Linked DNA regions of Rattus norvegicus. The protein of the gene in region 1 interacts with the protein of each later gene in a biochemical or structural test. Links are inferred from orthologs where the notes say so. Each region holds a gene or a part of one and is shown in the gene's direction. Other genes may lie near its edges. The genes, in order: Mapt, Camk2a, Csnk1d, Ppp5c, Dyrk1a, Hsp90aa1 and Mark4.

Evidence for each region.
Region 2: of the proteins of Mapt (region 1) and Camk2a, one has a biochemical effect on the other in vitro, tested with the Homo sapiens proteins (2 studies listed by BioGRID). The link is inferred for Rattus norvegicus from reciprocal best matches to the Homo sapiens genes MAPT and CAMK2A.
Region 3: of the proteins of Mapt (region 1) and Csnk1d, one has a biochemical effect on the other in vitro, tested with the Homo sapiens proteins (4 studies listed by BioGRID). The link is inferred for Rattus norvegicus from reciprocal best matches to the Homo sapiens genes MAPT and CSNK1D.
Region 4: of the proteins of Mapt (region 1) and Ppp5c, one has a biochemical effect on the other in vitro, tested with the Homo sapiens proteins (3 studies listed by BioGRID). The link is inferred for Rattus norvegicus from reciprocal best matches to the Homo sapiens genes MAPT and PPP5C.
Region 5: of the proteins of Mapt (region 1) and Dyrk1a, one has a biochemical effect on the other in vitro, tested with the Homo sapiens proteins (2 studies listed by BioGRID). The link is inferred for Rattus norvegicus from reciprocal best matches to the Homo sapiens genes MAPT and DYRK1A.
Region 6: the proteins of Mapt (region 1) and Hsp90aa1 form a complex in vitro, tested with the Homo sapiens proteins (3 studies listed by BioGRID, with this or other methods). The link is inferred for Rattus norvegicus from reciprocal best matches to the Homo sapiens genes MAPT and HSP90AA1.
Region 7: of the proteins of Mapt (region 1) and Mark4, one has a biochemical effect on the other in vitro, tested with the Homo sapiens proteins (2 studies listed by BioGRID). The link is inferred for Rattus norvegicus from reciprocal best matches to the Homo sapiens genes MAPT and MARK4.

Annotation. Positions count from the first base shown.
Region 1 is NC_086028.1:89,725,625-89,729,124, forward strand, and holds part of Mapt (microtubule-associated protein tau), read left to right. Parts: intron 1-1,421; coding exon 1,422-1,503; intron 1,504-2,648; coding exon 2,649-2,761; intron 2,762-3,500. UniProt on the Homo sapiens protein: Promotes microtubule assembly and stability, and might be involved in the establishment and maintenance of neuronal polarity.
Region 2 is NC_086036.1:56,647,934-56,651,979, forward strand, and holds the start of Camk2a (calcium/calmodulin-dependent protein kinase type II subunit alpha), read left to right. Parts: upstream 1-1,246; 5' UTR 1,247-1,287; coding exon 1,288-1,349; intron 1,350-4,046. UniProt on the Homo sapiens protein: Calcium/calmodulin-dependent protein kinase that functions autonomously after Ca(2+)/calmodulin-binding and autophosphorylation, and is involved in various processes, such as synaptic plasticity, neurotransmitter release and long-term potentiation.
Region 3 is NC_086028.1:106,730,689-106,734,188, reverse strand, and holds part of Csnk1d (casein kinase I isoform delta), read left to right. Parts: exon of another isoform or gene 1-127; coding exon 128-276; exon of another isoform or gene 277-2,576; coding exon 2,577-2,748; exon of another isoform or gene 2,749-3,500. UniProt on the Homo sapiens protein: Essential serine/threonine-protein kinase that regulates diverse cellular growth and survival processes including Wnt signaling, DNA repair and circadian rhythms. It can phosphorylate a large number of proteins.
Region 4 is NC_086019.1:86,822,006-86,825,505, reverse strand, and holds part of Ppp5c (serine/threonine-protein phosphatase 5), read left to right. Parts: intron 1-683; coding exon 684-805; intron 806-3,003; coding exon 3,004-3,069; intron 3,070-3,354; coding exon 3,355-3,453; intron 3,454-3,500. UniProt on the Homo sapiens protein: Serine/threonine-protein phosphatase that dephosphorylates a myriad of proteins involved in different signaling pathways including the kinases CSNK1E, ASK1/MAP3K5, PRKDC and RAF1, the nuclear receptors NR3C1, PPARG, ESR1 and ESR2, SMAD proteins and TAU/MAPT.
Region 5 is NC_086029.1:47,469,302-47,472,801, forward strand, and holds part of Dyrk1a (dual specificity tyrosine-phosphorylation-regulated kinase 1A), read left to right. Parts: intron 1-601; coding exon 602-726; intron 727-3,500. UniProt on the Homo sapiens protein: Dual-specificity kinase which possesses both serine/threonine and tyrosine kinase activities. Exhibits a substrate preference for proline at position P+1 and arginine at position P-3.
Region 6 is NC_086024.1:135,526,341-135,530,613, reverse strand, and holds the start of Hsp90aa1 (heat shock protein HSP 90-alpha), read left to right. Parts: upstream 1-1,473; 5' UTR 1,474-1,531; intron 1,532-2,114; coding exon 2,115-2,276; intron 2,277-2,374; coding exon 2,375-2,741; intron 2,742-3,107; coding exon 3,108-3,241; intron 3,242-3,468; coding exon 3,469-3,789; intron 3,790-3,940; coding exon 3,941-4,106; intron 4,107-4,254; coding exon 4,255-4,273. UniProt on the Homo sapiens protein: Molecular chaperone that promotes the maturation, structural maintenance and proper regulation of specific target proteins involved for instance in cell cycle control and signal transduction.
Region 7 is NC_086019.1:88,205,554-88,209,053, reverse strand, and holds part of Mark4 (MAP/microtubule affinity-regulating kinase 4), read left to right. Parts: intron 1-1,332; coding exon 1,333-1,611; intron 1,612-1,744; coding exon of another isoform or gene 1,745-1,824; intron 1,825-2,775; coding exon 2,776-2,820; intron 2,821-3,500. UniProt on the Homo sapiens protein: Serine/threonine-protein kinase. Phosphorylates the microtubule-associated protein MAPT/TAU. Also phosphorylates the microtubule-associated proteins MAP2 and MAP4.

The DNA of each region.
Region 1 (3,500 bases):
ACATTCCTTTCTCCTTTGACCATTCCAGGCTACCTATTCCCCATCTCCTATTCCCCAACACAACCCCTGGTACGACTCTCTAATGACTTTACCTGGGCCAGAGGGGAAGGGGTAGGGCCAGAGGGGAAAGGGGTAGGTCCCTGTAGCATTCCTGTACCTTTTTGGAGGCCCTTGGCTCCTCCTTCATTACCTGCCCCAGAGCTCCTGCTGGCCTCTGGATCTGTTTGCTGAAGGTCCTTGGGATTATCTGCTCCTTGCCCACCCTCTGCAGGGGAAGGCTGACACCCTAGCTCACTGATTTGTGAGGCCACGGCCCTCCTCTTCTGTCAGGTTCATGAGCAGAAAGCGTGTGCGCACGCACACACACACACACACACACACACACACACACACACACACCCCACAGAACACCATCAGCACAGCTAGCTATGAAAACAAGAAGGAGTTATCCTTTGAGACCTCTGTAGCAACCACCTTGCTTTATTGATTCTTGAACATGAGGCCACCCCTCTCTCGGGACAGGAGATGAGACTCCTCACCCCTGGAATGACCATGGTCTGTATGGGAGACCCACAGGACTCAGCAAGTGGCCGCTCATGACTAGCTGTCTAAGCTGTAAAACCACAGATCTGAGAGACTGGCTTTTAGGAGCCCCATCTGCCTGGGTGGTCTCCTTCAGGGTGTCCTGTCAGGGAAGCAGCCACCATTTCCCAGGGCAGGCATTGTTGCTGGGTCACATGAAGGACCCTTGAGCTGGCAGGGCTCCCTGTGTGTCCTGTCTGCTCACTTATGCTTGCTGAGACACTCACTGAAGCTGTGGTTCCTGCTATGTGCCTGCCTTCCGTTGGTGTCGCTTTGCTCTCCTCAGTAGAGGCTGAAGTGCTCAGGAGTCTGTATGTCCAGACACGAACTGGCTCTTACCCTGAGTCATAGAGTCGTTCTAGGTCCTGTCTGCTGACCTAGACCATGGGAGCTTCATGGATGAAGCACACACATCCTCACCGGCTTCTCCTCTGAGTCTCTTCTGAGGAGAAGGTGCAGGGCTGCCTAGGCCCATCACTTCCTCCTCCACTGGGTGTCATCAATTTCATCAATAAAAGGATTTATGTTTTTATATTTAAGTATCCGCTACATAGATACCGTGGTCACATACAAGGACCAGGCACCTCTGCTTTTCCGTGACAGTGTCTTGTGTATCTGGGATTGAAGATGTTTAGGTCTCACAGCTACTTGGTGAGGACCCAGCTCCCTGGGGGATGGAGGTTGGCTGGATTTGGGGAGCATAGTTTCCATCCCGAGTGGGATGTATTCAGGAGCTGATGGGAGCCACTGACAAGTGGTCCATTCGGCTTTGCACTGTTACCCCTGGTAACACAACTTCCTTTGTTCTCTGTCTCTTCCCCATCCTCCTTGACCTGCAGGTGCAAATAGTCTACAAGCCAGTGGACCTGAGCAAGGTGACCTCCAAGTGTGGTTCCTTAGGGAACATCCATCACAAGCCAGGTAGCACTTGAGGGAGGGAGGCTTTGGGGCAGAAGGGTGCTGGCTGGGCTGGTGGGTGCTTCCTAGAGTAGGCCAACCTGGGCAGTGAATGTTAAATGGGAAACTGCTGTGTGGCCTGGGGCCTGGGTTTGCCCCTGCTTCTCAGCCTAGACAAGGGGTAGAAGGAGAGGAGGAACTGGTTTTAGATCCATCCTGTTGCTCTCCTGAAATGCCTGTATAAAAGGGCCAGCCCTGGGGGTTGGGGATTTAGCTCAGTGGTAGAGCGCTTGCCTAGCAAGCCTAAGGCCCTGGGTTCGGTTCCCAGCTCCCGAAAAAAAGAAAAAAAAAAAAAAAAAGGGCCAGCCCTGGGTCTGGTTGGCGTCCTCCAAAGGCTGGCTCTGTCAATATCCCAGCACGGGGGACACTTTGACTGCACCAGCTATAACATGAGAGCTTCTGGGCTGTTGTCTTATCCTCACTGTAAGGTTGTTCGAAGAAAGTACCCTTCCCAGGAAAACAGCAAAGGTCCCTTCCTCCTGCTACCCTCTGGTGTGGTGACCTGAGCCAAAGGGGAGGTTAGGCTCTCTCTCCTTATTGTACATTTAACAGACAGTTCAATCTCAAGGACTTGAGGGGCTGTGGCTTACAATCCTGTACAAAATTCCTAAGAAAATCTCCACAGCTGGAAGGCGTCTGGTTTTAAAATTTAGCGCGCCTTCTCCTGGCCAAGCTTCATCTACCCCTGAACCATCTCAGGAGGAAGATTTTGCAGGGTAAATATCCTCTGTGCACCCTCTCCTTAGAGAAGAGGCAGGTAGTTTGCAAGCACTAACAAGAGCTTCCTGTGGCTAAGTCTCTTTTCTAGATGAGGTAGAGCCCAGGCAACTCTCAGAGAATGGGCTGTTCCTTGGATCACTGGCCCAGCCTGTGTTGGAGTCAGAATGGACGTGTCTCCTGAATGGTGACACATGACCGATCTATCTATCTATCTATCTATCTATCTATCTATCTATCTATCTATCTATCTATCTATCTATCTATCTATCTAATCGAGTCTCCAGCAGCCCCCAAGCCCCCAAGCTCTGGAGGCTGCAAGCTCGTTTAGCATGTGCTAAGTCCCCCAGACCACAGAAGATGACGAGAGACTCATGTGCGTTGTATTCCAGGAGGTGGCCAGGTAGAAGTAAAATCAGAGAAGCTGGACTTCAAGGATAGAGTCCAGTCGAAGATTGGCTCCTTGGATAACATCACCCATGTCCCTGGAGGAGGGAATAAGAAGGTAAGGGGGGGGCAAATGGGAGGTCATATGGGGATGTGAGGGTTAACACAGTGGATGAGACTGGTCCCAGAGCAGTGGTTCTCAATCTGTCCCTTGGAGATAGAATGTCATATCCTGCATGTCAGATATTTACATCACAGTAAATTTACATAACAGTAGCAAGATTACAGTTATGAAGTAGCAATGACATGATTTTATTTATTTTTTAAGATTTTATTTTTATTTATTTATTTATTTATTTATTTATTTATTTTTATTTTATATATGTGAGTATACTGCACTGTCTTCACACACACCAGAAGAGGGCATCAGATCCCATTACAGATGGTCGTGAGCCACCATGAGGTTGCTGGGAATTGAACTCAGGGCCTTGGCAAGAACAATCAGGGCTCTTAATCACTGAGTCATCTTTCCAGCCCAACATAATTTTGTGGCTGGGGAATCACCATGGCATGAGGCACTGTATTAAAGGGACGCAGCATTAGGAGGGTTGTCCTAGAGGGTTCTCTACGGACTATCTGGAATAGATTCTCATCCTCACGTTGTGTACCAAGAACAAGGCAGGAGACTGAAGGCAGCTCTTTCCCACTAGTTACCAGAGAGCTCGAGCAAAGTCGTAATGCTAACTGAGCCTGTGGCCCAGCTGGCAGAGAGGTTGTCCAACATGCACAGAACCCTGGGTCATGCCTCAGACTGCCATCTCATGCTTTCTACTTCCTCTTGGACTCCTGGCTATGGC
Region 2 (4,046 bases), on another chromosome or scaffold:
AGATTACTAGTCTTAAATTCCATGCCTTGGGGGCGTGATTTGTGGCTGCCAGTGTGGTTGATGTACACAAGTGAACTCATTAGGGAAGAGGACCAGTGAGTTTGGGAAAGAAGACTCCAGGGCAGGGTATATCCATGCCACTGGCCCAGCCCTGGGGGTGGGGGAGGGGGTTGAGTCCGGCCATGCTCACCTCATTATAGTTGCCTCTCCCCAGTCCTACCTTGATGGGAAGTACAAGCAAAAACTGGGACATGAGCCCCAGGAGACCAAGTCTTCATGGTCCCTCTGGGAGGATGGGTGGGGAGAGCTTGTGCAAGAGGCCTCAGGAGGGGCCCTTCCTGCACGGTGCTGGCAGGTAGGGGTGAGAAAGCAGACAGAGCCGTTCCTTCAGAGTTCTGGGTTTGCTCTGTACTTTTCCTCAAGCTAAGGTGACAGTGTGATACACACAGTGGCTAAAAAGCAGAGAGAGAGAGAGAGAGAGAGAGAGAGAGAGAGAGAGAGAGAGAGCAGGAGAGAAATAGGGACAGAGGCTGAGGCCAAGTCAACCAGACCAATTCCCAGAGGGAGCAGAGAAACCATTACAGAGACTACAAGGGGGAAGGGAAGGAGAAAGATGAATTAGCCATCCTTCCCCCTGTAAACCTTAGAACCCAGCTGTTGCCAGGGCAACGGGGCAATACCTGTCTCTCCAGAGGAGATGAAGTTGCCAGGGTAACTACATCCTGTCTTTCTCAAGGACCATCCCAGAATGTGGCACCCACTAGCTGTTACCATAGCAACTGCCTCTTTGCCCCACTTAATCCCATCCCGTCTGTTAAAAGGGCCCTATAGTTGGAGGTGGGGGAGGTAGGAAGAGAAGATCACTTGTGGACTAAGTTTGTTCACATCCCCTTCTCCAACCCCCTCAGTACATCACCCTGGGAGAACAAGGTCCACTTGCTTCTGGGCCCACACAGTCCTGCAGTATTGTGTATATAAGGCCAGGGCAACGGAGGAGCAGGTTTTGAAGTGAAAGGCAGGCAGGTGTTGGGGAGGCAGTTACCGGGGCAACGGGAACAGGGCGTTTCGGAGGTGGTTGCCATGGGGACCTGGATGCTGACGAAGGCTCGCGAGGCTGTGAGCAGCCACAGTGCCCTGCTCAGAAGCCCCAAGCTCGTCAATCAAGCTGGTTCTCCATTTGCACTCAGGAGCACGGGCAGGCGAGTGGCCCCTAGTTCTGGGAGCAGAGTATCAGCATCCCAGTCCTAGTCCCGAGCCTAAAGCCTCGCCTGCCTGCCCAGTGCCAGGATGGCTACCATCACCTGCACCCGATTCACGGAAGAGTACCAGCTCTTCGAGGAACTGGGAAAGTGAGTCACACCTCGGGCAGTCCTAGAGGGCATGGGGATCAGCCTCTTGGGCAGGGGGGCGTGTGCCTATGTGACTAAAGCTCTCCCGTGCATGCAGACGGAGGCGTGCAGCATGATTTGGAAGCACTGTGTATGCATAGGCTGTCCAGAGTTAGGCGTTGACACATTTATGTGCCCAGTCAGCCTGGTTGTGTGTGTGTGTGTGTGTGTGTGTGTGTGTGTGTGTGTGTGTTGGAAAGGAAGCAGATTGATATTGATGGTATTTGCACACACCTATGCATACAAGTACACACGACCTGGGTTCACAAAGATTTTCAGAAACTTGGGGTTTGAAAGGGATTTTCCCACTTGGCTGGGTCTGAGCTGGAATCTTTTCTGTAGTTGTACTTAGAAACCTCCAGTGACGGAGAGACTTCACCCCCGCCCCCTCCCCCCTTCCATTCCCCCTACTTGGAGATCCTGACTTTAGACTCTATGCAGGGCAGCTAGCTTTTCTCTGACACATTCCTTTCTGCTTTCCCAGCTTCCTTCCAGGAGCGAGAGCTTCAGTGCTGAAGGAGTTAACGTAAAGCAATCGAGGTGTTGGGAGGAGGGGAAGGACAGTCAGCCAGCTGGGGGTGCCACTGTGGCTGTGTGCACAAAAACTGTGGTCCTTTGGCAAAGTTGCCTTTGGTGTTATACCTCTATACCTTGGGAGGCTGCGAGGAGAGAGGTTCCCTCCAGCAGAGCAGCAGGCAACAGACATAAGAGGTTTCTAGATGTTCCCAGCTGGGTTGTGGGGGTCCTGGGATGGATCAGGAGTTGGGGAGCAGTTTGGCAGAGTGCCCCACAGATGCATAAGTGATCCTACCAGCCCTGTTTGGTTCCTGCTGTAGCAGCAGGAACATGAGACAAGGGGCTCTGTGAGCAGATGCGCCAGTGTGAGGTCCTGCAGGTACAGTTATGTTGAGGAGAGGCTATATATGAAATCTGTGGGGAGCAGATGGAGTTGTATAAGAGCTGACACTGGGCACACTGCGAACTAAAAGGGCAAACACTGGTGCAAGTAAAACATGAAGAGGTGTGTGTGTGTGTATGTGTGTGTGTATGTGTGTGTGTGTGATATTTGTATGGCAAGCCCAAAAATGTCAGTGTGCACTGCAAGGTTGCATGCATGCAATTATGCAAGGGTTGCTCTTGGCTAGGTGGTGTTGCAGCAAAGGTTTGAACATGCATCTGTGTGCACATGTGTGGCAGGTCAGAGATGGGTACTCTCAGTGAACATCGTGTGTGTGTGTGTGTGTGTGTGTGTGTGTGTGTGTATGTGTGTGTGTAAGGTCACAGATGTGAAATGTGAACAGAATGTTCTTGAGGGTGCATGTGACTTGAGGAATATGTAAAGAAAGCTCTCTCTCTCTCTCTCTCTCTCTCTCTCTGTGTGTGTGTGTGTGTGTGTGTGTGGCCTAGGCTCATGTGGGTGTGTGGGTGTTGTAGGCATGTGTGAGCTTATGCTGTTGCCTGCATATGTGTGGGAGGTGGACCTATGGCTGTGTATAAGCATAGCCCCTGAACACATTCACACACAGAGAGAGAGAGAGAGACAGAGAGACAGAGAGACAGAGAGACAGAAAGAGAGAGACAGAGACAGAGAGAGAGACAGACAGAGAGACAGAGAGAGACAGAGTCAGAGATAGAGATAGAGAGATAGAGAGAGACAGAGACCAACATCAAGACCAAGACTGAGACGAGACCAAGACCTACACATATCCTAGCTCCCTTGTGCAAATGTGTATTCATATTTGCCTACAGACTTCCAGCTATTCTGCACGTCTTTGCGTTGGAGGCAGGGGTGGGGGCAGGAATACAGTCTTTAGGTCTGCTCAGGAGGACTGTCTCTTAAAGTTTATTGGGAGACCCCTTTCCAGAGCATGTCTGGTATTCACTTGGAACCTAAGAATTTCTTGAATAGACAGGAGCTGCCTTTCAGGGGCCACCGAGGCTGGCTCAGCCAGGAGTGCGTCATAGAACATAAGGGAAGGAGTTAAGATGGGACTTCAGGGATCACAGTGACAGAGAACTGCTCCTTTGCCCTGAGGAGAAATGGGGATCATTAGGATTGGGCTCTGTGGGCTGACTTGGCCTTCTCAGCTCCTCTGCCTTCCTGGATACTCAGAGGTGTCAGAGAAGGGGCAGAGGAAAACCGAGGGTGGCAGACACCAGGTCTTGTCCAATCAACTTCAGACCTCCTCCTTCCAGAACTATTGGTGCTTTTAACCTCTTTTTAGGTCACTTATTCCTCCAGGATTCAGAGGAAAGTCTAAATAGACATTCCCCAGGAAAACGTATAAACCTATAAAATGCTGCTTGCGGTGTCAGAGCTTGTGGGACCTCAGGAAACGGTGCATGACCCTGTGCTTGAAGAGGCTTGGGTGAAGAGGAAGGGGCTGTAGTGGGCTGGCTTCTGCCTGGGCTGTCTGTGTGACACAGGCCAGGGTACCCTATGAAGGGTGAACCCTGTGTCTTTTGCAGGGAGGGGCTGCCCCACATGACCCTTAGCTCTGTGACATTGGGCAGGCTGCCACTCTTTCTGCCCTGCAAGCCGGAGACTCAGAAGGCTGGTCGAATTATGTAGATGACCTGTGAAGACGTAACCTCAAGCTTGGCACGCAGTAGGCATCTGGCTGGCCGTTGCCGCTGGGGTGGCTGTTGTCCTCAAGG
Region 3 (3,500 bases), about 17 Mb from region 1:
CTAAATATGACTAGTCTTCATATCTCACCTTTAATGTCTTTAGTGTATGGCACTGTGGGAGGTGAACTGGATGAATTTGGCAACAGTTGGTAGTTCCGGGCTAGCTTTGAGTTTCTTGTTTCTATAGCTGAATTTGCCACATACCTGAATTTCTGCCGTTCCTTACGTTTTGATGACAAACCTGACTACTCCTACCTGAGACAGCTCTTCAGAAATCTGTTCCATCGCCAGGGCTTCTCCTACGACTATGTGTTCGACTGGAACATGCTCAAATTTGTAAGTAGAATTGCTAGAGCAGGGGATGACATCAGCCTGGTCCTCAGGGCGCTGGCACTGGTGGCTGGGCTGGGTCTGTATGTAAAGCTATGCTATCTGTGCAAGCCTCATGTTTACAAGGCACAGTAGAATTGTAAAAGCCAAACACACTTGGTAGAAACTGGGCCTGCAGACCACTTTGCCTGAGGTTCGGAGTACTGAGAAGGAAGATGCTGAATAAGGCAAAAACTGCTATAGCATTTGGGGCACAGCAGTTAAGGCCACTTGCTGCTTTTGCAAAGGACCTGGGTTCAGTTCTCAGTACAACTAGGTGATCCAGTTTCCCTTCATACCCTCTTCTGGCTTCTGTGGTTACTGTATGCAGGTAATACATTTACTTAATGCAGCCAAAACATGCTAAATTAGAAAAATCTCTGACATTTATGGATGTCCATACGAAGAAGCCCAGTAAGCCATGATGAAGGTCTGCTCAGAGTCAGCTCCTTCTGGATTGGTGAGTCCTTCTTAGGGAAAGGCTTGCCTGCTGTTCTTCCTCTATTTTCATCCTCTCTTTAATTTTTTTTTTTTTTTTTTTTTTTTTTGGTTCTTTTTTTCGGAGCTGGGGACCGAACCCAGGGCCTTGCGCTTCCTAGGTAAGCGCTCTACCACTGAGCTAAATCCTCAGCCCTCTCTTTAATTTTTAGGGGAGTAAAGCTACTTCTGAAATTATTTTTTAAGGTGTGTGTGTGCGTATGCTTGTGTTGTCAAGGTCAGAAGAGGTCAGATTCCCAGAAACTGGAGTTAGAAGCTATTGTGAGCCTCTGTGGGTGCTGGGAACCAAACCCAGGTCCTCTGCAAGGGCAGCAAGTGCTCTTACTCATGAACTTTGGCTTTCCAGGTGCTGCAAGTAATACTGTCCACCAATATTCTAATTATATAACGAATTTTAAGAACTTTGTGGATTCGGCTACCTATGGTGGCATGGCATGGTGGTCTGGGCTAGTAGGAAGCATAGTAGTAGTCTTAAGCCCTGCCCCTCTTTGTCCTCCAGCACCCTTACTCCATCCCAAATCTAGTGTATACCGCATAGGCCTCAGAAGAGCCTCTGGGTTAAAGTGCCTGGTGTTCTGTCAGAATGTGATCCTGTGATCATTCAGACATTGCTGCTGCTAAAATTCAAGGCTTTGTGAAACTTTCGTGTCTATTTTAGTTAAATTTATTCTTGGACTAGCCATGGTAGCTCACACCTTTAATTTCAGCATTCAGAGGGCAAAGGCAGGCAGATCTCTGTAAACGTGATACCAGCCTCGTCTATATAGTGAGTTTCAAGCCAGCCAGGGCTACAAAATGAAACTCAATAAAATAGACAAAGACTAAATTTAAAAAAAATTCTTGTTTGGGCTAAGCATGGTTGTTAGCTTGAAGCCAGTCTTGGGCTGCAAAGCAAGATTCTGTTTCAGTCAGTTACTATTGTAATTTGAAGTAGAAATTATAATCTTTGTAGGTAATGTATCTAGTCTGAGTGCATACCTTGTCAACTGCACTATGTATGTCCCTGCTCATAGAGGGCACTGTGAACTAGAACTGCCTGCTGGGCCTCGTGCTACTGTGTGTATGTAGACGAACCTAAGCTGAAGGTGACAACCCTCGGCTGTAAGATGCTCGCAAGATGCCTGGACCTTCCGCCATAGTGGGGCTTCAAAAGACAACTAAGGCCAATAAGTTAGGTGGCACAGGGCAGTGCTTGCAGACCCCTCTGACAGTGCTAAGACTGATAACCTGACTCCTGTCCTTGCCATTGGCCTGTCATAGAAAGGCTGGCATTTTCACAGTGTCTGCATTCTACCTTGCTCTCCCCCCTCCTAGGCAATCTCCTTTTCCTTCCACAATGCACTCGCATGCCAACACTGCTAGGAAGTGATTAAGATGACAAGTTGTACATGTGAGTTCCAGTATGGTAGGGGTGCAGAGAGACTGTGGCCTTCGTGGGTATTGTGTAGGTAATCATTTCTGTGGGAGCATGGTCTTTCTGGTTTCACTGTTTGGTGTGGGTGATTTCAAAGGGCAGTCTTGTCCCAAGAGCTGCCTTTTTTTTTTTTTTTTAATATTTATTTCTTTTATACATGCAAGTACACGTTCTGAACCACCAGGTGGTTATTGAAAATTGAACTCGGGACCTCTGGAAAATCAGTCAGTGCTCTTTTTTTTTTTTTTTTTTTTCCCAGAGCTGGGGACCTAGTCAGTGCTCCTAAAAAGACAAAACAAAACATCAAAACATCATGGCGACTTTCCTCCTGTTCATTCTAATCTTTCCTCATTAGGGTGCCAGCCGGGCTGCAGATGATGCTGAGCGGGAACGCCGGGACCGAGAAGAACGATTAAGACACTCCCGGAATCCAGCCACTCGTGGCCTCCCTTCTACAGCTTCCGGCCGTCTGCGGGGAACCCAGGAAGTGGCTCCCCCAACGCCCCTTACCCCTACCTCACATACGGGTAAGCACATCTCTTAGTGTTCTTCACCAAACTAGGACCTCTGTTTAATGTGTTGATGAATTGCTAACCACACCAGTATGTGGCCTCAAAAAGATTCTGGGTTAATCAGTTGAGGGTTGTGTCCCTACTTCATTCTGAAGAGTAGGTAGGACAGGGACATAGGACATGATGTTACCTTTAGACATGGCATGGTAACCCCAAAATTTGGGAAGAGGGCAGGGTGGCTTTCTGTGAACTTAAGGCCAGCCTGGTCTACATAGTGAGATCTTGTCTCAAAGGAAAGAAAGAAGTAAGAGTTGACTTTCATGGGACTGGAGAGATCACTCAGTGGTTAAGAGCTCTAGCTGTGGGGTTGGGGATTTAGCTCAGTGGTAGAGCGCTTGCCTAGCAAGCGCAAGGCCCTGGGTTCGGTCCCCAGCTCCGAAAAAAAAAAAAAAAAAAAAGGAAAGAAAAAAAAGAAAAAAATAAAAAAAGGAGCTCTATCTGTTCTTCCAGAGAACTTGGATTTATTTCCTAACACCCATAAGTAAGTTTTTACATTGAATCTCTAGTTCCAGGGGAACCAACATCATCTTCTGGATTTCTTGGACACATGGTACACAGAGATGTGTAGGGAAAACATCCACACACATAAATAATTTTTTAAAAGTTTAGCTCTCATAATATAGATATTCTCATAAATCTTTGAATACTCAGGGCGGACATGTATATTGCTAAACATTGGAGCCTTAAAATGCATTCATCTACTAGGG
Region 4 (3,500 bases), on another chromosome or scaffold:
GAGCCAGGAGTTGATGGAGGAACCAGCTGTATTTGAAGACCTGCCTCCTAAGAATGTGGCAGGAGCTAGCGCATGTCTGTCTGTCTGCCTCCCGGACACACCCACTCAGGGAACTTGGTTCACAAGGGGTTTTATCTAGGAGAGGATGCTACATGTAGGAAGGGGTCTTCATCATTCAGGGTGTGTGCCGTCATCTTTCTTCTGGCCTGAGTATCTTCACAGTGGGCCTTGACCCTCTGGAGCCATGGTGCCCACCGTTCTTTGGATGGGCTTGTGACTGCAGTGTAGCCTAATGCTCCCCGTGCTGTGTGTGCCGATGCACAGAACTAGGGAAGAAGAGTGGCTCACATTCCAATGTCACCCAAAGGTTAACAGGTGCTCTGGCTCTGAATCTGAACAGATTATTTAGCAGTCACCCCTTAGCCTCTGCTAATTGAGTTTAGAATGTGGGGCAAAGGGAGGGGAAACATCTCCCCAAAGGACAGTTGCCAAAGCAGGAAGCCACTGCTTAGAACTGGCCAGAGTCCAGGGATTGCAGAGTTGTGGGCTGATGCTAAGATCAGGAGCACCACAGTACATGGGAAACTTGATTGCCCAATCTCTTACCCCATCCCTGGGGGCCAGGTCCCCTTCCTGCCCCTCCACGGCTGAAGCCCCTAACTAATCTCCTTGTCATACACCAGCCATTGAAGATGAATACAGTGGGCCCAAGCTTGAGGATGGCAAAGTGACAATCACCTTCATGAAAGACCTCATGCAGTGGTACAAGGATCAGAAGAAACTGCACCGGAAGTGCGCCTACCAGGTAACACACCCTCCTGTGCCACACACGCCTAGGACTCGGGAATGCACCTGCCACTGCCAGCCGTCCTAGGACAGGGCAGTGTGCTGGGCACATGCTGAGGGCTACACTGTCCTCATCTAATAACACAGCACTTGGGGGTGTCGGGCTGAGTTTAGAAGACCGACCAGCCTCAGAAGTGAGATCTTGGGAAGGCATGGGAGAGAGGAATTCTTGAAGGGCTTGGCTGGCTTAAGTTGGGGACAGGAGTAAGAGGACGTGCATGGTCAGGACAGGTCTCAGATAAGAGAAGTCATTTCTGTGACAGAGCTAGCCACATGTGTTGCCTCTCCTGTAATGAGGTCACAGCCTGCCAGTGGTCACTGCCTTCCCCTGGTGCTTAGCCCTAACAGGAGCCATTTTTCCTGCCACCAACCTGAGCAGCCCAAGCCACACTACCCCATGGAGGTCGGTGGTGTGAGTCTTTCAGGATTTTTGTACTGGGGCTCCTGGGTGGATTTGTTGGTTTTCTTTGTGAGTGTGATGTTGGCTGTTTGGCTTATTTCCATCCTTTGCGGTGTCCTTGCCTGACCAGAATAGCTGCCCCTGGGTTTATGACACTTATCTTCTCCCCAAGTTTTATTTTTCTTAATGATTAAACCTACAAGGATGTTGGAAGGTGAGCAGTTAACAGCCCACATACTTGGGCTGGAGAGATGGCTCAGTGGTTAAGAGCACTGACTGCTCTTCCAAAGGTCCTGAGTTCAAATCCCAGCAACCACATGGTGGCTCACAACCATCTGTAATGGGATCCGATGCCCTCTTCTGGTGTATCTGAAGACAGCAACAGTGTACTCATGAACATAAAATAAAAAAATCTTAAAAAAACAAAAACAAAAATCTAGCCACATAGTTTTCACAGGTGTGGGGACTCCATTCCTTGCTTTTCCAGGAACAATCAAGAATCAAATGGCTTTATGAACCCAAAGGCTTTCCATAAAACCTAAAACACAGATAAACACACTTGACTTTTCTCAAGGTTATGTTCAGTGTGAGCAAGTTGTACCAACAGATGTCCTGGTATTTTCATTTCTCCTGAAGTCCCCCAAAATATGTTTAAGGTGATTGAGGGGGTTCTTGAGACAAGGTCTTGCTATACATCCCAGGCTGTGCAGGGCATGGTGGTGTGCACACACCTTTGATCCTAGCCTTTGGGAAGGAGAGACAGATGCAACTCTGAGTTCAAGGCCATTCTCATCTCCATAGGGAAGTCTAGACCAGCCAGAGATACATTGTGAGACCCTGTCTGAAAAACCAAAAGAACAAAACAGTCTAGACTGGCTGTAAGCTGCCAGAATTACAGGTGTGTCCGAACACACTCACTTTAGCAGATTCTCAGAATGCCAATACCCACCGCAGGACTGAAGGTTCTCCACCCTTCTCTGCCGTTAGAAAAACCCACCTTTATGACCATGGCCTTTACATGTGTGCAGGTTAACTCTTTATATGTGTGTGCATCCACTCCTGGATGCACCTGCAGATGCCACAGGAGGGCAGACGACAGGATCTTACTCCACTGGAAGCTCAGCACTTCATCTCTGCTGGCTGGCCCACAAGCTCTGAGGAGCTGCCTTCTTTCTGCGCCCTCAATGCTGGAACTGCAGGCCCCTCACAAAAGTGCTGGGGATTTTAACTCGGCTCCTTGCCAAGCAAGTGCTCTTACCCACTAAGCCATCTCCTTGGCTCTAGGCTGGTTCCTTCTATAAGGTTTCCTGTACTGTGAACTCATGATTTTGTTTCCTAATGCTGGCGAATTTTAAAAGATGAACCAAAACCCTTGTGAAGTGATGGTGGTGTTTAGATTGTTTGCCTGTGTGTATATGTGTACACTGAATGTATGCAGTACCCGTGAGGCCAGAAAGGGGTACTGGGTCCTTTGGGACTGAAGATGTAGAAGGTTGTAAGGTACCATGTGGGTGCTGAAAATCAAACCCTGGTCTTCTGAAAGAGCAGCCAATGCTGCTGAGCCATGTCTTAAGCCCCCGATCATGGTATTTAAATGACACTTAGGCCAGATCAGATCACGGCTTGATGGCTACCTCTCTTCCTGTCCCTGGGTAGCACCCAGTAGTCCAGGCCTTCTCAGTAGCTCCTGGACAGCTGAGGCTTTGTTGTACTCCTGCCCCCGGGCAGCCATGCTTACAGCCTGCCCCGTCTTCCAGATCCTAGTGCAGGTGAAGGAAGTCCTCTGCAAGCTGAGCACGCTGGTGGAGACAACGCTGAAAGAGGTGCGCCTTGGACTATGGGTGCAGGGTGGAGGGGTGATCAAGGCAGGGCAAGCAGTCGGGAGGTCCCCCAGCTCCAGACTCAGAAACCCACCTGTGCATCCTTCCCTACTCTCTGTACCTGACACCCCTCCTACTTGTCTGCCTTCCTCGTTGCTGTGTCCCTTACCTTTGTGTCTTGCATGGATTTTCTTGGTCTGTTGTGACCTCTCACCCCTCATTCCCCTCTGCCCCCTCCCCACATCTCTCTCTGGGCCCCTCCCTCTCCGGTGGCCTCTTTTCTTTCAGACAGAGAAGATTACAGTGTGTGGGGACACCCATGGCCAGTTTTATGACCTCCTCAACATATTTGAGCTCAACGGTTTACCCTCAGAGACCAACCCCTATGTATCCTCTATGCTACCCCATGTGGGCCCCACCAGGGAAGAACATAG
Region 5 (3,500 bases), on another chromosome or scaffold:
TAAATGAGCACGTGATCACTATCTGCCTGACAGGTAGCAACAAAGCTACTTATAGCCAAGTAAATGGACTTGAATGTCCATTTAAATGGACTCTGTCCTTGAATTTTTGCTTTTCTGAGGAGAACCTGGCTGTATAACAGGTGATGTAGGAAGACATCTAATATTCCAGTAGCTTTGTGGTATATTTCAAGTTAATACCGTAGCTTGAAAGTTTTGTGTATCTGCATATGTGCTGTGTAGTACATGCACGTATGTGTGCATATGTACACACCTAAGGTCACATGTAGGGGCATGACACTGTGTGTCTTCCTTATTACTTGGAAATAGGAGTCCCACTGCACCAGAGTCCTGCTGTTGTATCCAGGCTGCCTGGCCAGTGAGTTCTTGGGAGTGGCACCCCCTTCCCCAAGTCCTGGGGTTCATTCAGGCCAGGTTTTTATATGAATGCTGGAGACCCACACACAGGTCCAAGCACTTGCAGAGCAAGGACTCTTACCTGAATGTCCTTTTTACCCTGAGTGACAGTAACGGCAGTCTTAGATACTAACTTGAGCAGAATTAGCTTTAAACTCACAAGTTATTCCGTGTCCTGATGTTAAAGGTGGATCCTCGGGAACGAGCAACAGTGGGAGAGCCAGGTCGGATCCGACGCACCAGCATCGGCACAGTGGCGGGCACTTCGCTGCTGCTGTCCAGGCCATGGACTGTGAGACACATAGTCCCCAGGTGAGCGTCCCAGGCTCCTGCCACGACCCCACTAGCTTTGGCTGTATGAGCTGCCATGGGCTGTCAGGGTGACTATGTGTGTGTCCTTCGTTCTAAAGGCATGGAGTGTCCTTACTGCTTAGCAAATAAAACTCCGCTCCTTGTTAGGAGTGAGAGCACACATTGGGTAAACACGCTCTCCACTGTCCTCCCAGGTGTCCTCCACTGTCCCTCCACTGTCCCTCCACTGTCCCTCCACTGTCCTCCCAGGTGTCCTCCACTGTCCCTCCACTGTCCCTCCACTGTCCTCCACTGCCCTCCACTGCCCTCCACTGCCCTCCACTGTCCTCCACTGTCCCCCCAGGTGTCCCCAGGTTTATCTTCTCACTTGCCACAGCGGCTTCTGGATGTCAGCAGTTTGCTCCCTGCCTCTCAGTAGGTACTGAGACCTCTAGGTGCACCGTGAGTTTACTCTGTGAGCTGTGCAGTCTGGACCCTGTCGTTAGCCTCTCGGGGCTTCTAGCATTCCTCATCCTGCTTCTGAATCAGTTTGTGATGCACTTTTTTTTTTCTTCTTTTTCTTTTTTCTTTTTTTCGGAGCTGGGGACCGAACCCAGGGCCTTGTGCTTGCTAGGCAAGCGCTCTACCACTGAGCTAAATCCCCAGCCCCTGTGATGCATTTTTAACCTTGGAAGTATTTGCTTTGCTTTTTAAACTTACTGACGTTAATAAGTGTAATAATAAAGTAATGTTAAGGTTTGTGTGGAGCATGTAGGAGGGTAGAACTGTAGAGATGCCATCTTAGCTATGTCTCATTGCCATGGTAAAGACGCAGGTAGAAACAGTGTCAGGATGACAGGGTGGACTCTGGCTCTCAGTTCAAAAGGAAATCATACATTATGTCAGGGAAGACGTGACAGCAGGCAGGGGAAGCAGGGTGGCAGGGTCAGGAAGCCTCTGCAAGCAAGAAAGAGGAAATGGGGCTGCGCTATAGAGCCTCGAGGCCTACCCCATAGAGCCTGGAGCCCTACCCCATTAGAGCTTCAAGACCTGCCCCATAGGCCAGCCTCCTCCAGTAGAGGCTTCACCCCTGTCACTTGCTGCCAGCTGGGGACCAAGCATTCAAACACAGGAAGGAGGTGTTTACTGTTCAGACAAGAACACAGAACCTTAATGAGATAACGCCCCTCTGCACTCTGTGCTACATTTTGATTCTTTGTTCGAGAGGACAGTCGGTTATTTGTAGAGTAAGGAAAATCTGTGCTAGATTGGTGGTCATTCCTTTGTTGTGATTGGGCTGATTGGTTCTTGTGGATAAACTATCATACTGTTCTGTCCTCAGTCTTCTTATTCACCAGAGGCAACATTGCTCAGAGAATCCCTTCTTCCTGTTGTCTGTGAAATGCTTCCAACTTCTCCACACTCTTCCTGACTCTCCCGCTGTGGTACTCATCATACAGGCATTCTGTGGTGGTGGCGATGCCTGTGCACCTGCTTTCTCACAGCCTGCCTGTCTCTGCTGTCGCTGGGCTTCTTGTTGAAGGCCAGGCCCATGTCCCCTCCTTCCTTCATGAGCTCTGGCTCCTTGTGTTTCTAGTATACAGCCAATTTCCCTCTAGTTCTTGTCTCCCTCACCTCCCTGCAGTTTCTTGAGTTTCCCCCTGGTCTTCAGCAGCCCTCAGCTCAGTGCTCTCATGCTTGCCCTCATTGTCATCTGGCCGTGTTTGCAAGTGTTGACTCAGTCACGTGCATTGAATTGCTCTACTTTTTCTGGTAGTTCGTGTCTTTGGTTCTCCATTTCTTTGTTCCCCCCTCCCTTAGCTGTCTCTTTTTGAGGGTGTTCCTGTCTTCTATGCTTTGAGATGACCTTGCATACTTCCTTCTTGGTCTCACCCCTTATTGTCAGTCATCGCAGTCACCATTTTTAAAGCATTGCTTCCTGCTTACCCCTGACTGCACTTAACTCCTGAGACCCCTGGGTTGCGCTGGGCTTTCTGTAAATATCATTCTACAAGTCTTAGCAGTAAGAAGACTCTTCTACTATTAGCGGTTGTTTTATAACAATGGCTCTAACCTCACTCATTTGCTGTCATAAATTTAGGGCCAGGGAGTTAGTCTTCGGGTTAGTGAAGCGTGACTTCTGATTTTATGCATATATAGTCAGCCTTCCCACTATGAGAGCTATGTGTGCCCTGTCTTTCTATGAAGGAGACCGGCTGCTCTTTCCTGTGTCCTGTCTAAGTGCTCGTCAGCCTGAGGCACCTCTGCAGACATGTGAACTTTGCTACTCCAGTCCGTCTGTTTCCCTGCTTTATGTAGCCCTTGTTTCCCTTGTACCTGGAACTAACATGTAGATTCCTGTGATAGCAATGCCTTTGTGCTCTGTCCCCTAACTAGGCCTTTCTTTATCCTCTGCACTCAAGTGCTCAGATCTTTTACTCTGAGGGATGTGCCATGCTGGGTCTCCCTCCCCAGCTTTCCTAATTCTTCCTGCGTTGGCTTAGTGGCACAGCTCATACTTAGTAAAGTGTTTTGGGCCTTCCTTTGTTCCTCTCGTTCATGTGTGTATGGTCTATGTACTGTAAACATACATAGTCATTCCCAGAATAGCACAGCTATATGTTCCCACCTACCTTACAGAGGTCACTGATCTGTTGGGCAAGCCCAGCTGGCATTTCTGCTTGTGATCATTGTCCTCCTGCCTTCAAGAAGCTGGAGTTACAGGCGTGCTGCACTGTGCCCAGCACAGTCTTTTCTTTTTGAGTTAAATTGTTTTTAGTTGTTTATTTATGTTG
Region 6 (4,273 bases), on another chromosome or scaffold:
GCCTGCGTGCATGTATGTTTGCGTGAGGGTGTCAGAGATTAGAATTACCGTTTTGAGCTGCCACGTGGTCATTGGGAATTGAACCTGGGTCCAGTCTATGCTTTAACCACTGAGCCATCTCTCCAGCCCTTTTCTTTCGAATCTTAATGAGTGATCGTTTTCGTCAGCAGGAAAAGATGCGGAAATAGTGGGTGGGAGTAACATAAAGGAAAGGGAAATGGAAGCCAAACGGAAGTCTATTAAAGCCTGTATTAAACAAGGAAACTATCTTTTGGGTCACGTTAATCGCCCAAAGTAACGTCATGACACCCTAAGAAGGTGCCTCAAAAACCAGGGTAGTGTGTTGTGTATGAGCGTTTTGACTGCGTGTGTCTGTGCACCATGTGTGCTCCTGGTGCCGCAGAGGCCAGAGGGGACTGTATTTTCTGACTGTAGTTACTGGTGCTTGTGAGCTGCCTTAACGTGCGAGTTTGGTATCACTAACTGCTCCTAGCTGACTCTTTAGCCCTTTACACTTATTTTCACATTGTGCGAGTGTGTGTGCGAGTGTGTGTGTGTGTGTGTGCACATGAGTGTCACAGGCGCTGAGGGTTAGCTCCCCACTCCCAACCCCCGCTATCTGGGTGGCAGATATCAAACCCAAGCACCTCTACTGGATGAAGCCATCTTTCTGGGCCCCCGTAATTACAATAAGTTAAGGTAGCACAAATTTGACACTAAAACCCTAACAACGCCCAAGTTTGAGGGTCATGGGTTTTGGTCAAAGAGAAACCCCCAAGCACTATGGACAGATTTGGAAGATCCACCGTGTACTACCCACAGTAAGGCTTCAGGACAGGCTCCAGAGGGGACAGCCCTAAAATTCAGACAGTGGTACCACGCGCCAGACCGCGCAACAAGCAGAACCCGGGCTCGGGATACGCCCCACCCATCAGGTGGAAGCCAGGAGTCAGACTCGCGTCCCGCCGGGAGTCTACGTCCCCAATGGGAGCCCGAAGACAGGGGGATCTTCTCGCCTCAGACACCTAACGCGCCGCAGAGGGCACTGAGGTTCACACAGCAACGCAGCCTCACATGGGAACATCCCTTTCGCAGACCCCACCCCCACCCCCCGAGAAGAGGAGCCCTAGAGTGCTCACATGGCGGCCTCTAGCGCATGCGCTGGTCACCTTGTCCGCGCTCCACGAGAGGCGGCGCGCGCGCGGCCCGGGAAGGCGCCAGGCCCGCCGAGAATCCCGGACTGCGCATGTCCAGAGCACCTGGCTGTGGAGGAGGGGCTCGCGTTCGTTCTCCGCGCGGGTTCTGCGCGCTCCTGGTGGAGGGGCGGGGCCCGTCCAGTGCGCAGGCGCAGGCGCGCGGCCGAGGCGACGGTTGGGGAGGGTTCTTCCGGAAGGTTCGGGAGGCTTCTGGAAAAAGCGCCGCGCGCTGGGCGGGCCCGCCTCTATATAAGGCAGGCGCGGGGGGCGGCGCGCCAGTTGCTTCAGTGTCCCGGTGCGGTTAGTCACGTTTCGTGCGTGCTCATTCTGCCAAGGTGAGTGTCCTCGCAGAGGGGCTTAGTGGGGGATTGGGGAGAGAGGTTGACGGATGTAGACGCGGCGGCGGGGTCGGGGCCGCCATCCGAGCTCCCTCAGCCCGCAGAGGTGGGCGGCCATGCCTTCAGACCCTAGGCCCCAGGCGGCCGCTACGCCCCAGGCCCAGGATGCGGTGATGGCCGCCGAGGAGGAGCGGCGGCGGAGGGTCGGGGGCGAGGCGAACGTTCGGCTCTGGCCTTTGCCTAGGCCTCCCCGGCTCTCGCCGGTGCTCCTGAGGCGCGGGCGGAGGAGGGAGGCGCCATAGCGGCGGCTTGTGGGGGGAGGGTGGCCGTTAGGAACGGCGTGCGTGGAGCCGCTTGGGTCCGAACGTCCTCCCGGAGGCGCGCACATGCGCCTCGTAATTACCGCATTCTGAAATGAGGTCATCCCTTTGTCATCCACCCCCCCCCTCGGCCTCTTCTATTCCGTCCCCGTCTCAGACCGAAATAGAGTTCCTAAGGAATTTCTATAGGAAAGGGGTAGGTAGGCATTAGGACGCCTGCAGACATTCTGTGAGGCTTTAACACCGTCCCGTGTTCCCAGATGCCTGAGGAAACCCAGACCCAAGACCAACCAATGGAGGAAGAGGAGGTCGAAACCTTTGCCTTTCAGGCAGAAATTGCCCAGTTAATGTCCTTGATCATCAACACTTTCTACTCGAACAAAGAGATCTTTCTGAGGGAGCTCATTTCCAACTCCTCAGACGTGAGTATATCACTTGAAGAATTGAATGGATGTTGGTTTCAGTAAAAATTTCACCTTGAGGCTTGTCTGTGTGCGTGACGTTTGTCTTCTCTTAATAGGCTCTGGATAAGATCAGATACGAGAGCTTGACCGACCCTAGTAAACTGGACTCGGGGAAGGAGCTGCACATTAATCTCATTCCCAACAAGCAAGACCGAACCCTCACTATTGTGGATACTGGCATTGGAATGACCAAGGCTGACTTGATCAATAACCTTGGCACTATTGCCAAGTCAGGCACCAAAGCCTTCATGGAGGCTTTGCAGGCTGGTGCAGATATCTCTATGATTGGCCAGTTTGGTGTTGGTTTTTACTCTGCGTATTTGGTTGCTGAGAAAGTGACTGTCATCACCAAGCATAATGATGACGAGCAGTACGCCTGGGAGTCCTCAGCTGGAGGATCCTTCACTGTGAGGACAGACACAGGTAGGCAGAGGCCAGGAGTGCATTCAGAGTGCAGTGGGTGTCTGGTTATTTTAGGTCAAGTGTTTAAGAGGGTTAACTGGGAGAATTGAAGAGTTTGGAGCAGTCTGGGATAGTCTTAGTCCTAAGCCCTCCAACAAAATTGTTAATCTCAAGGGAGCTTCAAGGACTGGGTGGTTGGAGGAAATGTGGAAAACGTATGGCTATTTGCTCAGTAGCAAGGAAGTTAAAGCTCTGGAGACTGCATTTGTGTGGAAAGTTAGCTGCTAGGAAACACTGCACGTTTTTATCTCCGCTCCAACAAGCACTGGGAGAAGACTTTGAATATTAGCCATTTGAATTCATAGTCCATAACCTTTTCTTTTTCAGGTGAACCAATGGGTCGTGGAACAAAGGTTATCTTGCATCTAAAAGAAGACCAAACTGAGTATTTGGAGGAAAGGAGAATAAAAGAAATTGTGAAGAAACATTCTCAGTTTATTGGCTACCCCATTACTCTCTTTGTAAGTTTTTCTTTCAACTGCAGGGTAAATTGATATGATAACTGAGACAACTGAGCATGGTCTTAGCATTCTGTAAATAATAAGCCTGTTTGAAACAAGTTTGGGTCTGTGCTCTGGAGGACTGTTGAGAAATTATAGAAAACACTGATGAGTTTCTTAATTATGGACATTTATTTCTTAGATCTTAAATAATTTGTGACACAGTAATGAAGTGACTTTTTTTTAAGGTGGAGAAGGAACGTGACAAGGAAGTCAGTGATGATGAGGCTGAAGAAAAGGAAGAGAAAGAGGAAGAGAAAGAAAAAGAAGAAAAGGAGTCTGATGACAAGCCTGAAATAGAAGATGTTGGTTCTGATGAAGAAGAAGAAGAGAAGAAGGATGGTGACAAGAAGAAAAAGAAGAAGATAAAGGAAAAGTACATTGATCAAGAAGAACTCAACAAAACAAAGCCGATCTGGACCAGAAATCCTGATGACATTACGAATGAAGAATACGGAGAGTTCTACAAGAGCTTAACCAACGACTGGGAAGAACATTTGGCAGTAAAGGTGAGTGACTTAAAGCAGGTTTTCGGGTTGACTTAACGTTAACCTTTACACCCACTCAACCTATAGAAGTGCTTCTAAGTGTAACATAGCTCAGTGGAAAAGTTGATTCATTTTTGTCCATGGCAGTTAAAGGTATTTCATTTTATTGCAGCATTTTTCTGTTGAAGGACAATTAGAATTCCGGGCTCTTCTTTTTGTCCCAAGACGCGCTCCTTTTGATCTATTTGAAAACAGAAAGAAAAAGAACAACATCAAGTTGTATGTTCGCAGAGTTTTTATCATGGATAACTGTGAGGAGTTAATCCCCGAGTATCTGAGTAAGTACGGATAGAAAGAATAAGCACTATTGGCAGGGGTTTTGCATAACTTGTTTGAGGCCCTGGGCTCAGTCCTCTCGACCAGCCAAAAATGATTCCTTAGTTTTCGGAATGATTAAGGTAGGTGTCTTGTTCTTTTCTTCCACAGATTTCATCAGAGGGGTGGT
Region 7 (3,500 bases), on another chromosome or scaffold:
GGCGTGCGCAAAGCCTTGGATCTGGCCTGTCCTACGCCGGGGAGGTGCGGAGTACCTGTAACGCCGCACTGGACGGTGAATGCAGGAGGAGCAGAAGTTTAAGGCCAACCGGGGCTATGTGAGACCCTGTCTAGTATAAAAGGGTACGGGCTGGAGCTGGTCAGCGGGTAAGAGCACTGGCTGCTCTTACAGACAGCTCAGGTTTAATTCCTAGCACCCACATGGCTGCCATCTCTCTCTCTCAAGTCCAGTCCCAGAACATCCGATGCCCACTTCTGACCTTCAGGCACCAGGTACACATGATCCCAGCCATACGTGTGGGCAAAACACCCATGCACGTAAAAAATATCGTAAAAATATGAAGGGAGAAAATGGGGAGCTTGAGGCGGCTCCACCTGGTCCAGGCATGGCCCCCCACCAAGCTTCTCTGCTCTAACTGGGACGGATGCTAACTGTTCCTGGGTCTCATCAACCTTTACCCAGAGTTTAATCCACAGATGACATTCAATGATAAGGAAATTGTTCAGTAGTTACTAAATAAAAACTAATAAGGATGCTTCATCAAGCAGCTGCCCTCTGGCTGGCCTGTGTCCAGCAGTGGCCTAAATTACTAGCAACTGCATTCTGGGTAGATCCTAGTCCAGAAATGAGGCACAGAGAAGTTAATTAGCTTGTCTAAAGTTACACAGCCAGCGAGTGAAAGAGCAAGGATTCTAGAATCCTTGTCTGTAAGCATTGGAAGATGTGATCTTCACGTTCTAGACAGGGAACAAGGCGAAGCTGCAGAGAAGGCCATGGCTTCAAAATGATGGAGGTTCTGATTTTTGTGACAGAATCCAAGAACAGGTTCCATTGAACTTGCCCATGCAGACCCCTGCTCAGGGTCTGAGACCTCTGTGCCAGCTGCCAATCTCCCAGCAATCTCTGAAGTTAAGCCTAGAAATGGTACAAAGTGCAGGGGGCAACATATTGGATGGTGGCTGGCCACCTGATTTCTTGCAGCAATGCATTCTGGGAAATGTAGTTTCCAGCTGCAAGGCTATGTGTATGACTTCTACTAGCCCTAAGGGTTTGGATACCAGGAGAGAAAGCACAGGTGGATTTAAGGGAGGCCTAGTGGCCTCTGAGATCTGGGAAGGTATATATTGGAGGTCTGTGTTATAGCACGTCACTCTGAAAGTAATCCATCTTGGAAGCTAAACGGTCTGGTTTGGTTAGAACTTGGATGGGAGAATCTGGAGACTGAGCCAGTAAACAATTCGAGGTTCCAAGGATCCATAATGCTCTGACAGCCCTCCGGCCCCACCCTGACTTGTCTTTCTCTGCCCACAGCTCTGGTACCTCGCGGGTGCCCCCTGCCTCACCCTCCAGTCACAGCCTGGCTCCCCCATCGGGAGAGCGGAGCCGCCTGGCTCGGGGCTCCACCATCCGCAGCACCTTCCATGGGGGCCAGGTCCGAGACCGGCGGGCAGGGGGCGGGAGTGGCGGGGGTGTGCAGAATGGACCCCCGGCCTCACCCACGCTGGCCCATGAGGCCGCACCCCTGCCCTCCGGGCGGCCCCGCCCCACCACCAACCTCTTCACCAAGCTGACCTCCAAACTGACCCGAAGGTGAGCTGCACCGGATGTGGGGTATGGGGTGGTGGACGGGCAGGGCCTAACCTTCTTCTCTGCTTCTCCTCCTGCACCTGACCTCTTGGTCCTCTGCACCCCCTGTCACCACTCCCACCTCCTTACCCTGCAGGGTTACCCTCGATCCCTCTAAACGGCAGAACTCTAACCGCTGTGTCTCGGGCGCCTCTCTGCCCCAGGGATCCAAAATCAGTAAGTCCTATCTCCTCTGTTCTCCATGCTCCGCCTGTCCTCTGCATGTCTGACTGTGAACACGCATGTGTGCTACATGTATGTGTCCTTGGAAGGGACCCTGTGGGAACAGCGTCCATGTAGGGGCTGTGGAGTGTCAAAAAGCATATCCCGTTACAGACGGGTGCAGCAGGTTTCAGCTCTACTAAGTGAGGCTGAGCAAACCATTGAGCGTCTCTGGTTCTTCTCTGCACCTCGAAACCAGGGACCACAGAAACTATCTACATGTGACCGTGGCAGCTCAGGTCACTGCTGTGGGGAATTCTTTTGAGTGTGTTCCTTAGACATCTACTTGTCATCTGGTATGACTGTTACACATTGATAGCCTCAGTGTGCCTAGCATGGCTAGCAAAATGTAAAATATGTCTACCCTCACATAGCCAACCTTCTAATCGAGGACGTAGGCCACAAGTCAGTGGAGTACTAACGGGAAAAGTCCTGCAGTCTCAGGCTGAGGCAGGAGGCTCTCAAGGTCATGGCTAGGCAGGAAGGATATGGAAAGAATTTTTCAAAAAGAGTAAAGCAGACAGAGTGTCTGAGGAAGGGAAGGGCGTGGCTCAGCTGTAAATCCCAGGCCTAGGATCTCCCAGAGAGGGGCTGGGGCGTGGCTCAGCAGTTGAAGACCCCTCCGTCACTGGATGCGTCTGCCTATGTGGGAGTGTTGGTGCCTTTTCTGTGTAGGTGTGTCTGCCTGCCCCTTTTCTCATCTTCCAATCCTTCAGTATCTCTCCTCCAACCTGCACTAACCATTTCTGTCTGGACCGCACTCTGGATGGAAGGGATCAAATCCGGACTACAGCTCTGTTGGGAGAGCGGAGCTGCAGCGGGGGCTGCCTAGAGTCATGGCAGTGGGGAGGGGGAGGGGGTTGCTAAGGCCCAGATTTACATTTTGTTCCTTCCCCACTCTGCTAGGGTCACAGACGAACCTGAGAGAATCGGGGGACCTGAGGTCACAAGGTGAGTGAGGGTCTCACCCTGCCTGCCTCTGCACACCCTGTCTGGTGCTCTAAACATAACATGGTGGAATATTCTAGAACCTTTTCACCTGTACTGAGACTCATTTCTGCTACATTGCGCACCTTCCCATAGCTGTCAGTGATTTGAGCCCTGTCCTGCCCACTGCCCAGCGTTCCTCCCATGCCTGTAGCACTTCTTATTCATTGACTCGAGGTGTGGGCGAACCTAGCCACGGGGACCCGCCCGCGTGTAAATGCTCTTCAAAGTCACTCCTACTAGGTTCTGCCAAAAGAAGCAGTAGCCTCTGTAGAAGCAAATAGGTGTCACTGCGTTGTAGTGAAAACTTATCCAAGCTGGCTCTGGCGGGATGCACAGGTCTGCCAGTCCTGTGTGGAGATCTGAGGCTGAAGGAAAGCAGGTTCAAAGCCTGCCAAGGCTAAAAGAGCTCAAGGCCAGCCTTAGGCAAATTAGTAAAATAATCCTATCTCAGATTTGGGATGAGGGGGAAGAGGGCTGTGATGTACAGAGCCCCTGCCTAGAATCCCCCAGCGAGGGAGGGGCTGGGGGCGTGGCTCAGTGGTAGAGCCCCTGCCTAGAATCCCCCAGTGAGGGAGGGGCTGGGGGCGTGGCTCAGTTGTGGAGCCCCTGCCTAGAATCCCCCAGTGAGGGGCTGGGGGTGT